Linked DNA regions of Arabidopsis thaliana. The protein of the gene in region 1 interacts with the protein of each later gene in a biochemical or structural test. Each region holds a gene or a part of one and is shown on either strand. Other genes may lie near its edges.

What was found. The genes of interacting proteins can lie anywhere in the genome.
Region 2: the proteins of RIPK (region 1) and RIN4 form a complex in vitro, tested with the Arabidopsis thaliana proteins (one study listed by BioGRID).

What each region holds. Positions count from the first base shown.
Region 1 is NC_003071.7:2,285,187-2,293,353, forward strand, and holds RIPK (Protein kinase superfamily protein), read right to left. Parts: upstream 4,451-8,167; 5' UTR 4,085-4,450; coding exon 3,677-4,084; intron 3,600-3,676; coding exon 3,464-3,599; intron 3,360-3,463; coding exon 3,223-3,359; intron 3,036-3,222; coding exon 2,328-3,035; 3' UTR 2,052-2,327; downstream 1-2,051.
Region 2 is NC_003074.8:9,129,120-9,136,613, reverse strand, and holds RIN4 (RPM1 interacting protein 4), read right to left. Parts: upstream 4,477-7,494; 5' UTR 4,157-4,476; coding exon of another isoform or gene 4,151-4,156; 5' UTR 3,724-4,150; coding exon 3,262-3,723; intron 3,184-3,261; coding exon 3,001-3,183; intron 2,897-3,000; coding exon 2,867-2,896; 3' UTR 2,526-2,866; downstream 1-2,525. Other genes in the region: AT3G25060 (Tetratricopeptide repeat (TPR)-like superfamily protein), read right to left, coding at 6,293-7,494.

The DNA.
Region 1 (8,167 bases):
ATATTAAAAGGCCTGCCAACTACTTTGTTATTTATAGGCATAACCCATATAAGTTATGGAAATTATATACTAAGAAACTTTTAATAAGAACGAAACTTGGGTTTACTCTTAGGGTGAATCCTTTTTATTCACCTTATTTTGTATTGATCAATAAAAATATGCCATATCAAATCCTACTTAATTACATAATAAATTAAAACTATAATTATAAATTCAAACCGATATATAATCTTGTTTAATTACAAAATCTAAACTTTAATTTTCCTTTGTAAACCCAAACCGCCATTTAAACTCATTTAATCGTAAAAAAATCTAAACCCTAATCGTATTTTGTAAACCCAAACCGACATTTAACCTCGTTTAATTATAAAATCTAAATCTGTTTATAAACCTAAACCAATATTTAATCTGTTTAATTATAAAATCTAACCCCTAATCGTACTTTCTAAACCCAAACTGATATTTAACCTCGTTTTCTAATAAACCCAAACCGATATACAATTTTGTTTTAGTGGCAAATTAGATTTTATAATTAAATTAAATTATTTTTATTATTATTAGGTGTCAGATTTTAATTGGTTAAAATAAATGATGACCCTATCATGTTTTCTTACACATTTTCATTTCTAAGCTATTTAAAACACAGTAAGTTAAAATAACTTGGAAATAATATTTGATATATAAATAAATTAAAATAATACTTATAAATTTTAATGACATATTCAAAACTTATATATATTTAAAGACTAATATATTTTATTATAGTATTGACTCCTAATACAAGAAATACCAGTTTAGTATTCTTAATTTTTACAAATAATGTTTATAAACAGATATTGTACAGTCAATAATCTTACATTAGCCGTATTACTAAGACTTGTCATAAAATGATAGTAATTTTAAATTATAGCAAATGGGGATAGTGGGAGATTAGTAGGTAAATTGGCAGAAAGTTAAGAGACTTTATACAATCGTTAGCTTATCTGTCAATTGACTCTTACAACAATGAAGATCGATTTGGTCTCAGATATTTGTCTGTCCATTTATAAATATACACATGCACGCCTATTCTAGATATAAAACTATTATAAGTAACTAAATGCGCAAGCTGTATCCAAATGATTCTAATTAAGTGACTATATAATAATATACAACTAGATGCAATTCCCAAAAGTCTTAAATTAACCCTAATCATCTATGATAGTATATATATACGTAATCAACACTCCTAGCAAATTAGTATATGCATGCTAAATTGTGAAAACTAAAGTGATTGGAAAGTGTCGATATAAATTAATGTGATTATCTTATCTTTTTGTCGTGAAACTGCAATATCCATGCCACTTTGTTTGATCCTTGATGTTTTAGGGTTTTCACGTTGATCAGTCGCGATCATAAATATTTCAAATATAATGCAAACTTGTAGAATAATTAATATCCACCAAAGAAATGTCCATATATTTTAGACGTGATTTACATATACTTTATGAGACTGATCCACTATGTTGTGAGAAGACAAAACTTTGAATTGAATCATATATCCACATTTAATTTCATTTTATTATAACGTACTTATATGTCCACATTTATATATAAATTATGAAAATGAAAGAGGCTATTTATATATGCAATTGATGTTGTTATCAAGCACATCATATAGTCTTACTAGCCTAAAAGAAATTTATTCAAATTATTAAAAACGCATATATAATTGGTCCATTATCATACATTTTATTAAAAATGTATATATAATTTTTTTTTGATAATTAGGAGGGTCGGGATCGAGGCCCTTAATCTCCCAGAGTCCGGGAAAGACCAAGTGAAAGCCCCTGACCAAATGAAAATAACTAGCAATTTTGCGGTTGAAAGAAATCGATTTCTGACCTGAACCAATAAGGTAATTCCTCCTCAAGTAGAAACCACTAGACTAACACTACTTGATTTTGAAAAAACGCATATATAATTGGTCCATTATCATAAATCATAAAAGAAAATAATATCAAAAACTTATTAATTAGCATTTTCCATTTAGGATGCGAAGGACAAAAGCTAACGGTGAATAACGCGTCTTTCGTTAGACGACGAAATGTTCATAAACAAAAGAATATCATATTGGACCGCTCTTCTTGTTCTTGCTTTTGATTTGATCAAACAAAACAAAACAAAACAAAACAAAAAGACTTACAAAAAAACAAAGTAAGCTCAATTTTTCACAAAAAAAAATATAATTATATATTCTTACATTACGAAAAGACAAACGTATGAATTATTTACATTAGATTAAAGGAAAAAAAATGAATTTTAAGAGTTGGTGTGACTAGAAAAACTTAGTACCGTTCCCCACCTGCCTCACTTCTCAACGGCGAATTCACTCCATTTCTCAACGTTCTCCGGTGATTTTCCGTTGAATTCCTCGGCGACTTGGCCGTGGGAGATGGAGACTTGGTTGTCGGAGATGGAGACGACCGGGGATGATTACTTTGTTGTTGTTGATGATGATGATGATGACTACTCTTACGTGGCTTATTACCAACACGACCATCATCTTCTTTATTGTCCGGAGTGTTTGGCACCGTGTAAGTGAAAGTCCCCATAGGAATATCATTATAGTCTTTAAGATCATTGAGTATAGAGACGACGGCACTCATACATGGCCGGTTCTTGGGTCGATGGCTTAAGCATTGGTAAGCCAATGTTGCTGCTTTTCTTGCTCCTGTCTCTGAGTACTGACCTTCAAGTCTCGGGTCCATGATTCGAGATAGTTTACGTGGGTCATTGAGCATTGGACGAGCCCAGTCCACAAGGTTTTGTTCCCTCGATGATCTCTTTTTGTCTACTGATCTCCGTCCGGTCAAAAGCTCTAGCAACACAACTCCAAAGCTGTATACGTCACTTCTTGCTGTTAAATGACCGGTCATGATGTATTCAGGAGCTGCGTAGCCTTGTGTGCCCATCACTCGAGTTGACACATGAGTGTCGTCTCCTTCTGGTCCGTCTTTGGCTAACCCGAAGTCAGAGAGTTTCGCCGTGTAATCCTGAAAACAAGATTTGGTATAGGAGCTTCTTTAGAACTTTAGGAATTATAAATTGGAAAATAAGGGCTGATTGGTAACGACTGTTAATTTCGGTTGTAAACGCTTTTGCTGTAAGAAATTTGACTGTAAAAACTTTGACTGTAGAGACTTTAAGAGTAAAAATCGGGTTGGATTTTTTGTTACTTACGGAATCTAACAAGATATTGGAGGCTTTGAAATCCCGATAGATAACAGGATTTTCAGCTTCGTGTAGAAATTGAAGTCCTGTTGCAGCTCCATGAGCGATCTTCATTCTTGTTGACCATGGAAGCGAGGCAGAGTATCCTGAAAGATTAATCCAAAGTCGCTTAGAAACACTTGTCATAAGATTAGTTCCAAAAATATATTTATCTGAATAAGAAAACATAGAGAAAGAGAATGAGCCTTACTTCTGAAAAGTTGATTCTCTAAGCTTCCACGAGGCATGAACTCATAAACAAGAGTTCTATGTTCTTCCTCACAACAATAACCAATCAATTTCACCAAATTTTTGTGCTTCAATTGTCCCAAAAACATAACTTCCGTCTGAAAAGAAGATTAAATCCAATATAAGAAAAAAGACCAATTAAAAAAAAAGGAATATTTTTAGAAAAGATACTAACCAGCCATTCACGGTGACCTTGAAGACCTTCAAGATCAAGCAATTTAACAGCAACAGGCTGAGCTTTAAGACCAGGACGTAGCTTATCATCAATGAAACCCTTATGAACAGGACCAAACCCACCTTCACCTAGAAAATTGGTCGATGAAAAGCTTTGTGTAATGACTTTAAGCTCCGCTAGGGTAAACACATGAAGATCTGATCCGGCCAAAGAAATCGATAGATCTTCTGACAAAGTGTTGGAACTTGGATTGCTCATATCAAGTATCGATAGTCTTTGAAAAGAGCTCTGTTTCTTGATGACGTCATTTTTTCTTTTAGGTTTCTTTGAAGATGCCATTAGGGTTTCTGGATCTCCTAAACATCCAACGATTAGTGATCTCCATGAAACTTTCTTCTTCACCGCCATTGTTGTTGATTTTGTGTTTCTTTTCTTCTTCTTGTTTGGTTTGCAATGAGAGATGGAATGGTTTTTAAAGAAAATGAGAAGAAGACTTTATAATATAAAGTTTTATGTTATAAATATAATAACTCGGTTTTTAATGGTCACGAGGAGAGATAGAAGAAGAAGAAGACTTTATAGATTACTAATTTCAATTCAAATTCACCTACTACTACTACTATTGCTACTCCTTTAACACAAAGAAAAACTCATTCTATTGGGGTGGCTTTATATTGACATTGAAATAAATCACCCTAATTTTATAACACATGCTTATTTTATTCTTTGTTGATAGTAGTTTCTAAGAAAATTATTAACGAGTTGATTTTTTAGTCAGTGGTGGGGTGCTTCCAAAATTGTAGACGATGACAGCTTTTGCCCTCTTTCTCTAACGTGTTATCTTTTTACGTCAATGGACCATAAACATGTGATTCTGATGCAATGACGCCAAAAAGAAGTTTCTGATAAAATAATAATTTTGTTTAGTATTTTCTTCGAATTTGAGAGTTTGAGTATGAATTTAAAAGAAACAATAATAAAGCTATTTTGTATGTGTGCTTCTATTTTGTTTTCATCATTTTTAGTAGTTACAAGCTGGATAGGGTGGTGGTTTGTACCAGTCAAAATTGACTACTAGTTTTGGTAATAATCACACGATTTCAGTAAAAAAATAATAACATATTTTCATTTACGAAATTAAATATACAGCTTAAATTCTGTTAACTATTTGATGGAATCAAATTAAATAACCATCACATATTAATTCCCATGGAATATCCTTTAAGTTTTAAGCTTTACTAGGTGAGTGTCCGCGCTACCCGCCGGATTTTGTTATTTTTTTTTTTTTTTTAATATATTTAAAAATTATTATTCTTTTCTACAAATATTATTTTATAGGAGAGTTTGTATTATGAAGGATGAAAACTATATATTTCTTATTAAGCACTGTATATTGTTTGTTAATTTTTACTCATAGGTAAAAGTTTTGAGTGTGTTGATGAAACCGCATAATCCCGTGCTTTCATATATATGATTTAAAAGATGTATTCGTTAAATATACAGCATACATAAAACCTCTATAAATTAATACTCGATAAACTAATAATTGTATAAATTTTTTAATATATTATAAATGAAAATTTTGGTGAAATACGACTCTGCTATATATTTTTAGTTTACATTATTTCTAAAGTTCATTTTTAATATTTTTACTATATTCAAAATCTTTTTTGTTGTTTTCTATACATAATATTTTTTTATTAGTTGTAATTAGTTCTAAAAAAATAATAATTATACATAAGTATTTTTTTAAAACATAAAGTATTTAAAATTACAAAATTAGCCTAAAATATCTATAATTAATTTATTGATAAATTAATACATCGATAAATTAATAAAATTTCACGGTTCCAATATTATTAGTTTATCGAGGGTTTACTGTATCTCGATTCTAAAAAGGATAGATGGATAGTAATTGAAAATTATTGTTTCCTATCAAACTGTTATTAAAATTACATATTGTCTATGAAATTCTTCTTGTTTTAAACTATTTCCAATTTTACCAAAGGAACAATGGTCTAGTGATAGTATCTTTTGGATTACATATACTATCTACGAAATTATTCACTTATTCTTTAAATTGGAGTACCTAAAATCAAACTTTGGATACTAAGAAATATTATGAACTAAAGTTCTGGAAACCCCATGAATTATAAGATTTGTTTTTCCCATTATATTTTACTTTTTGTCTTCTAACTATTTTTTTTTTTTTTTAATAAAGAAATAGTTCAAACCTATGAATGCAGAGACTATCTTTTGTTGTAGTCCTCCTCACTTTTTCGAACTATGCAATGACTATCTTCCAAATAGAGACTTTGGGAGATTATCAGGAGTTTTGTGAACTTTTTTGGTTTAAGGTTTGCAATCTTTAGTTTATGGGGATGAACTACTAACAAGCTAAACATATATAACAATAGATCAACAACTAAAATTCTAATGTCATCATGCCTATCTACAAATAATTTGATAAACGATAATATTATTTAGAAAGAGTCAACTTAAAATATTACGATTCTAGAAGATTAACACTCCTCTCTTTCCCTTCTTCTCCAAGCAACAACATAGTCAACAAAATAGTTTGGTCAAAACTAAGAAAACAAATGAAAAATCATAGAAATTTACATTTCAACAAACACCTCAAAAAACAAAGATGAGAAAGAGAGTTTGGTAGAAATGCAATATATATATTATTATAGATAGATAGACAAATTTGTCGATCTTCTAGAAACACATCGTTTTTAGATATCAATAATTAGAAGAGAAAATAATATAATGAGAACAAAGGTGAAGAAAGATCTCTCCGCGTTGTCTGAAGACGGCGACTTATTCATCTCTCAACTATAATTAATATTTTGAGAGATTCTCTTTGTTTCAGTTTGAGTTGACATTTACTCGGTCCCACTTCTCATTTTTTCCATCAAGGCTTTACTCTATTTTTTTTTTTCATCCAATGATCTATCATAATCTATAATTGTGTTAGTCACACTTAGCCTTTGGCCTAGCTTTACTTTTTCTACTCATGTAAATATCATTTATATGAAAATTAGGTTTTACAACATATGTTAAACATATTCATATGATCCTTTGGCAAAAAAAAGTTAAAAACAAAGAGATCAAAAAAGTTATGGGAGAAATCTTGGTAGATGTTATCGCAGCTAAAATACCATTAATTTTCGATAATTGCGTCTGATTTTTTTAGAGGGATGATGTTTTTGATATCTCGATCAATATACTTTCGTCTAGTACTTCTATGAAGGTGTAGTTTTTTTAAAACTCTTCTTCAGTAATGTAATCTAAACCGTTTTCCGTTGTCGTAGATTTCTATCGTCTCTTTGGCCTTTGGTAAGATAATACATTAAACTTTTCTTCTATATGATTTTGATACCGCCGACTGTTGAAATGTTTTACAGTAGAGTTTAGAATTAATTGTAAAACATTTGATTTAGATTTCCTTTGTATAAGTTTTGGGTTTTTCTCCCTTTTGTTTTTTTGGCTTCGTATTGTGAAACATGTAATAATACTTTGTTTTCTTTTTGGTTGGACATAATCTCCGAAAATAAGCGATTTATCTTTTAGAATCTATTTTGTTGATCGCCAATTATTGTAAATTGTCACTAATTTTTTAGTCTATCTTTTTAGATCATAAGAGAGAAGCTACCATTTCTATTTTAATATCCTTTTCTTCATCCGTACGTATATCCACAACGACAAGTAGACAAAAATATGTTAAGTATTTGTATGTATCTTTTTTTTTTTTCTGTTAAGTATATGTATGTATATTCTTTTTTTCTTTTGTTAATATAAAATATATCATATATGTATATTCTTTCCGACCAAACTTTCTATCTTTGTTAGATACCTGTCTTTTATTTTTGTTTAATGGTGTGATTGGAGAGATACAATTGGATAGCAAGTAATCAATTGTATAACAATTTATCAAGAATTGTTAATTGTTATAGAAATTTGTTCCATTTTAAATTCATTTGAATATCTAATAAAGTATAAATATTCAAATGAAGTTGTTTTTGCTTTTAGTGCACCAAGTCTTCAAGTTCTTCCGGACCTGAGGAAGTTTCCATAATTCAAATATTTATAGCGAAGACACTTCTACATGTTGGGGTTAGAAAGAAAACCAACATATCATGGTTTAGTAACATGATTCTGTTTAAAGATTTAATTATTTATGTAATTATGTGGCTGAACTGAAGCAATTCATAGTCTATATAGAACAGCAAGAGTCGTGACACCCACATTAAGTAGTCTTGGTACTTGCCCAGCACAATATCAGCTCCAACATAATTTCTTACAATATTTTATTTAATTTATCTATGAAACCGTATTTAATTTTTGGGTTTCCTTTTTTGTACATGCACATAAATATAATATAAAATATATTTATGTGGATGTGAAATTCAGATTTGTGTATTAGGTTCTTGATGAAAATTTGATAACGTACGCATACATCAAAATCAAAATGTGTATTGAAATATA
Region 2 (7,494 bases), on another chromosome or scaffold:
GGTTTCAGTCGATGACGATCATGTATACATCGTATCCGGCCGACTCATTTTATGGGCTTCTTTTGGGCCTTCACAGCCCACTAATAAATCGCGGGAAGCTAAATTCAAAGGTTTTTAACTTAAGAGACAAAACAATTGTGTTTCAAACTCATACTGTGAAAGTGAAAAATTTTGGATGAAATCCTGATCGTCGACAAAACAATTGTGTGTTTGTGTTTCAATCTCGAACACAATTGGAGATAGAAACTAGACAAAAGAAATAATAATGCTCATTATTACTTTCATTTTTGTGCCATTACTATAATAATATTTTTCATATATGTTTAGATTTTATAATAATGTAGTATGTATGGCAAATTGAGGATCCTGCAAAAATTAATCTATATAGGGATATATGAGGGACAATGAAGTGTTTTGGAAATTGTTTCTCACCATAGTAGATAATCTTTTTCAAATTGAAATATTTAATTTACATCCACAAGAATCTACGACTTTTATCAAGGAATTTTGATCAATAACTCAATATATATGTGTGTAGACTAAGATGTAAGATGTTGATATAGAGAGACATTTGATATGATACAATGGCACATATATATGAGATTCTTGATGTTTGCAATTCTCACTTGATGAGCCGGATTTTTTTTTAAAAGAAAATTTGTTTTATCATTTTTTTAAACTCAAATTAAAGAATTTTCAAAAATATTACGTTGAGACTTAAGTATGACTTTCTTTTTAACTTATGTATTTGTTTTTATTGTAATTGTCTTAATCCTATATTTATTTGTTTGTATATTTTTTGCCATTCTTTTTGTTTTTTGGTTGTATACCCGTTTCGATGCATCATAATAGCATTGCTTTACTCTTTCTATGTGTATAATTAGCATGAACCGTAATGATTTTATGAGATTAGTCTCAAATTACAAAGTGCAAAATGTGTTCGCCATTATTACTAAGGAAAAAGTTTTGAGTACTAAGAATCCAAAAGATAATCAAAATCTAATTAGCCATTTTTTTCCTCTCATCTCCTGCAAAATATTACAACCTCACAAGTTTTGATTACCGATTAAGAAATATTCTATAACAACACAATTTTGCCTTACGTTTATTTTTTTGACCAACTAGAGTTAGCTTTATTTCAAGATTGACATCAATGTATCCACCATTACCAAATTTCAATTTGTTACCATTTTTGCAAATTACCACCTTTGCCTCATAGGTTATTGTAAAGTCAATAGTAATTTTATACAATTCCGCATCTCGAGTAGAATGCTGGTACCCCCATGTAGTTTTGCATACATCAATCCGTTAACTATGTTTTGTCCAAAGCAACAATGTACACCATTCATAGCTTCCATAGTTTTGCATTCTTATCTTCCAACAACTTTTCATTCTTAGCTTTGCAGTCATTTAATGTAGTTAATTCTCGACGAACACTGCGCCACAAATACATCGGAGAAAGTGGAACAAACTCACTGTCCAATCCATGTAATACTCTAGCTGAACTAATCAAATCATTGGACACATATGTCCAACATATTAAATGGCTCATTTGGTTTCGAATCAAACCTCCAAAAATTCAATCTTATTATGTTTTCTACATCTACTATATACTTATCTAATGGGTCTTTCGTATATTGTAACAAAACCAGGTAGTCATTACAATCATATTAGGATCATATCAAATATGAATTAGGATTCAGCCCATTCACCTTCTCTTCAAAATCATCAAGCGAGATTCTGAGTGGTATGCAACGAGATTAATGTTTCAAACTAGAATCATAAGCTTTCTTCGCATGTTCCAAATCACTAAACCGTTTTTCAAGCTAACCAAGTATCAACCAAAGCTTGAAGAATGGTGGTTTAAAAATTCATTTGATTCTGGAATAAAATATAAGAGTTTAGACTTTATTCGGTTATTTTTAGATTTTTTTTTTTAATTCTTAAGACTTAGAAGATATTTTAGATTTTGACAAAAATCTCACAATACCGCCTAAAAAAACGAATGGAATGGTGATAGAGACAACCGAGATTAGTTGTTTTGAATTCGCGATGTTTTATTATTTTATTTTCGTCATTACTCCTACTATTTTAGTATATGTTACTATTTTAGACTTTTAGTTAGATTTAAATATTTAATTACTTTATTATTATTGTTAGACCATGGTATAATTATTTTTATATTTATATTTATACAAACTAATAATTTCTATAATATTAAATAAATTTTAATCAATTGATCCGTGGTCGAATCCGGTTGATCCATTGACCCCGTGACCTAAAAAGTAGTCTAGTTCACCATCCAGGTCGGGTTTAAAAAGATTGCATTTAAGTCTAATTATTGGGCATAGAGAATGCTGAAATAGTAAGTACATAAAGCTGGAGAATCAAACCTGATTACACTGTACAAAGCCATATAGGAAACAAGTGTCAATTCGTTCTTCTTTGATGTCCATATCATATGGACCATACGAGTCATCATCCTCCAAAGATCTTAATCTTGATTTTATATAAAAAGTTATGGGTCTTTCTTTATAGTGGTGCAGAGTTAAGGCTTTGAACATTAGAAACAACAAACTTGGAGGTACCCAAATATCTCTGATTCATATCAAATCAGTTACCAAATCACTCAGGCCGTACCAAGCAAGATATAATGCATCTGCAAGCAGATCCGAAACTGGAATGTGTCTTATGAAAACACCAAAAGTATTAAGGAAGAATTGCAAAATATACATACAAAAATTATACTATAAAAATCTTATGCAAGTGAGACTTATGCCTTATTTCATCTAAAGAAGCACGAATGTCTAATCATCAAGATTACACACTGATTTCTCGATAACTATATACAATCTTCCGGTCCCTTTCATTTTCCTCCAAAGCCAAAGCAGCAACACTGTCAAATTGCACAAGACAAACCAATGTTCAACACACACTCACTATTTGAATACGTATTCACTAATGATTATACTTGAAAATGAGTTTTAAAGAATGTCTTACTGAGGAAGTGTTGTTCGGGTTACGGGAGCTTTGATGAGTCGGCGTTCTTGAAGATCCACTCACATTTGCTCCAGAACTTCTCTCTTCACGGACTTTATTGAAGATATGCGTGTATCCGTCAGCTGATGACGGGTTGTTCTCGTCCCAGTCACCGAATTTAGGCACCACTGTGACTTTTTCAGGCTATATATAAACAGATGACAACACATAAGCAACAAACAGAGATATTCTCACTTTAGAGGTTAAAAGTGAGATTCTTACACTTTCATCAGCTCTAAGGTTGGTAGGTTTAGGCCTAGATTTTCCAGTACCATCATAAGAATTCTTATGCAAAGGTGACTTGTTGTCATAACTATTGTTCTGAGAAGCTCTTCCTTGTCTTTTGTTAGCAGCTTCATTTGATGAACCACCAGCATCACCAAACTGTTTCAACTCGCTCTCTTCTCGGCTTCTCATATGCTCACGTGATCTTCTAACCGTGTCAACTTGCTCAGGTTTGGTTCTGGAAGAAGGAGGATGAGGAGGAGCTTGTGATTGAGAGTCAGAGTTATACTCCGGGTCATTCGGGTTCATGATCTTGCTACCGGGTGCTCGAGTCTTACGAGCTTTGTCAAAGTAAGCTGTGTAAGGAACATTCTCCTCAGCTTCCCAGTTTCCAAATTTTGGTACATTCGAACGCTGTTGCAACAAACAATTCAACAACAATGTCCTTCCACAAAACATTCAATAACATAACATCCTAAAGAACAATCATCACAGAAACAAGATAGCAAATTCACTTAAGAATCCAAAACAGAACAAATACAAATTGGGTTTATCGATTTCGACCAAGTACAATGATAAAGTTGAAATCTTTGCTAAGCAAAAATAGAAACTTTACCATAAAAATAGTAACTTTCATAAAACCCTTTTCTTATCTAAAGCAAATCAGAATCATAAAGTTGAATACTAATAGACATCGCAATCCATAGAAATGTTATCTCAATAGGAAGAACCATAAATGCAAATAGATTAAGACTCAACTTTCTACAAATCCTCCAAAAAAAGGGTCAGAGATTGACGGAATCGAAACAAAAACTATAATCTGAGAGAAAGCTCTAGACCTAAATAAGAAGAAGAGGAGAAGGAAAGAAGGAAAGAAAACACTTACTGCCATGGGAGAGAGGTAGCTAAAGAATTGAAGTCTGAAGCTTTTGTTAGGTTTGAGAGAGAAAGACAGAGAGAGATGTGAGAAGGAGAGGAGACGAAGAAGAAGTTTTATAAAAGCGTTGACTAGTGGTGATGCTATGTATTCTTTGACCCTTCCTCTCCTCTCTCTAATCTTCTCTTCTCTCTTTGTCTCACTCCAAACTCTATTAATTTCATTTCTTAACTCTATTACTAAATTTTCATGTATTGTCAAGAGCACTCAAACGCCGTTACCGTTACCGTCACCGTTAAAGGCGGCTTTATTTTGGTGTCCATGTTACATTGTTTTCCTCTTAAAAGATTGTAATAAATATTTTTGTCCTAAAGAATTGGATATGTGGGTCGGAAGCAACTTTTGGTGGAATCTTCTGCTCTAGTAGATAAGTTTTGTGGATCTAATAATTATATGCTAATAGAATAATTTGATTATTGATAGCAACAATGTTACAATGTTATAGCAGAATTTAGTGAATTATTGATCTTGGATTTTAGCGGATTAATGAGTAGTAATAACTGAAATTTCTTTTGGTGACGATTGGTACCAATTCGTCTATAGATAGGTTACCATTTGAATCAACTACTTGCAATTTTTGTGATACAAATAGTACAATAACTATTTTTACAAATATCGCCATTTAACGCTAGTACGTATACTTTTATTATTTACACTCATAGTTTTTTTTAGAGAAAACTTAAAAGTGTTTTGTGAAGAGTACTACAAAGTGATAGTAAGTAAATAAAAAGTGTTCTACGAGTACAAGGAAAAAAAAAAGGCAGTATGAACAAAATAGTTAGAAAACTAGAAATGAGAAAGTTATCATCAAAGGTGGTTGACCACAACTACCTAATCTCTTTTTGATCTTAGTTGATGTTTAAGGTTTTAGCACACTAATCAAGAAACTAATTAAATGATCAATTGTTTCTTGGTTTTCACATTAAAACATCATTTATAAAACTCAACAAAATTATTCAACCAATAACAAAAGAAAGAATTGAAAATGTTTATGAGAAATTGAGAATATTAACTTCTGAAAAGAAAAAGAAAATAATCATATGGAGACTTTTTGTGTTAGCAAAGTCAAAGCTGCCTCTTTACACTGAAAGACCCTTTTGAGAATTTACGTACCTCTTTCTTCCAAGAACAAATAACATGTCTCGTAGCATCTATTATCGAATCACCAATGACAATAAGATGTTCACTAAAAACCATAATTGGAACATTATTTTAGTAATTTTTTACTAGACAAAGTTGAAAAATGGAAAGTATTCAGCGTTGTTCACATCAATTTATTTGTGGTTGCCGTAGCGATAATTATTCAATGCTCCCGTACTCATACACACGTGAACTATATAGTCCACACGTACAAGTGTTTTCACATGGTTAATGCCTTAATGGGAATATTTTAGAGATTGTTCACGAAAAAATAAGAAAGATCAAATCAAAGAAGACAGATCGTTCAGCTTCATCAGTTTCTCAACGTGAGTGTGTCTTTTTATTTTTTGTAGTCAAGTGATATGGTTAGTTAAGACTAAAGACAACTAAGAGATCGTGTGCATTCTTAATTCTTTTGGTGTTATTTAGTTTTGGAGCGTTACTCTATTTTTGGGACATACAACAATCCACCCCAAATCAAGTTTATTTTATATAAATTGGTCCACGACGGATTTCTTCTATTTGTCTCAATCCATACTCTTACGGACTATAATATATAAAATGGTTCAATCCGCAAACGAATTTGTCCGCCACAACCATACAAACCAGTGTCACAAAGCCACAAAGGTAAGGGTTTCTCAATACATTATTTAAGGGGTTTATCACTCTCTTAGTCTCTTTAATAAGTCTCAATTCTTAAGTCTCTTTCACATTTGTCAATTAACTTGAATTTGCACTTTGGTACTCTGCTTTTCTCAAAGGGACCAAGAACCTCTTGGTATTTTCTTCTCACTAAAATTGAAATTGACCCGGTTTGGTTTTCTTGTTCAACGCGTGGAATGTATTGTTAGAGTTTTTGACTAAAACCTCACTCCAAAATAGGGCCACATGAGTCAGAAATGGATGTATATATACATACTGAAATAAGAATGGATGCTCATAGAGACAGAACTATTCGACTCCGGAACATACATCTCTTATCTCAGTTTTCAAGTTCCTCAACACTTGCAACATGTGATAATGTTCATGGTGACTCAGATCTTCCATGAGAAAAGTTCGAAGCTCCCCATTTACTTCGATCGCGCTGTAGCCTGGTACCTTCTCCATGGCCCCATTTCTCATCAACTTCCTCACTTTGGCCACTTCTTTCCACTTATTGGCAGTTGCAAAGAAGTTAGAAACCAGTGTTTGGATCCCAATACTATCCGGATTCAACTGGAGAATCTTATTAGCCGCAATGTCCCCGACTGATAGATTCCTGTGATTAATGCATCCTGAAAGAAGAGCAACCCATATTGGTAAAGCATTGTCAAGTTTCTCAGAGTTTATCATATCAAGAGCTTCTTCGACTCTCCCTGCACGTGCAAGAAGATCAATCAAACAAACGTAATGCTTTTCACTCGGTTGGATCTTATATTTGTTTATCATGACGCTGAACCAATGTTGGCCTTGTTCTACGAGACCCGAGTGGCTAAGAGCAGAGAGAAGTGATGCAAACGTGGCGTGGTCGGGTTCTATGTTTGATTCCGTCATTTTGAGAAACAACGATACAACTTCTTGACCGTTTCCATGAATTCCATAACAAGATATCATTGTGTTCCAACAAACCAAGTCTTTCCTTCCTACATGTTCAAAGATTTCTCTTGAACTTGAAAGAGCGCCACATTTTGAGTACATGTCCATCAAAGCAGTTGCGGTTACTCGATCAAGAACGTGCCTTTTCAAAATATAACAATGTACTAATCTACCAGTCTTTAATGACCCGACTTGCGAACACGCCACAAGTACTCCAACAAGCGTCACTAAATCCGGTTGAAACCCAAGGCTCTGCATTTCCACAACAGCTTCAAATGCTTTATTAGCTAATCCATTTTGAGCAAATCCAGAGATCAACGACCCCCACGAAACTGCGGTTTTAAACATCATCCTACTAAACACCCTAGAAGCAACCTCTATAAACCCAACTTTTGCATACATATCAACCAGGCTGGTTTCAACCACTACATTCATAGGAAGACCTGTTCTATACAAATACCCGTGAACCGAACGGCCCATTTTCGTATCCCCGAGATCACCAGAAGCTTGTAAGAGACCCAACATCACAACCCTATCCCTACCAAACCCTTCATTCTGCATTTCTCTGTAAAACTCAA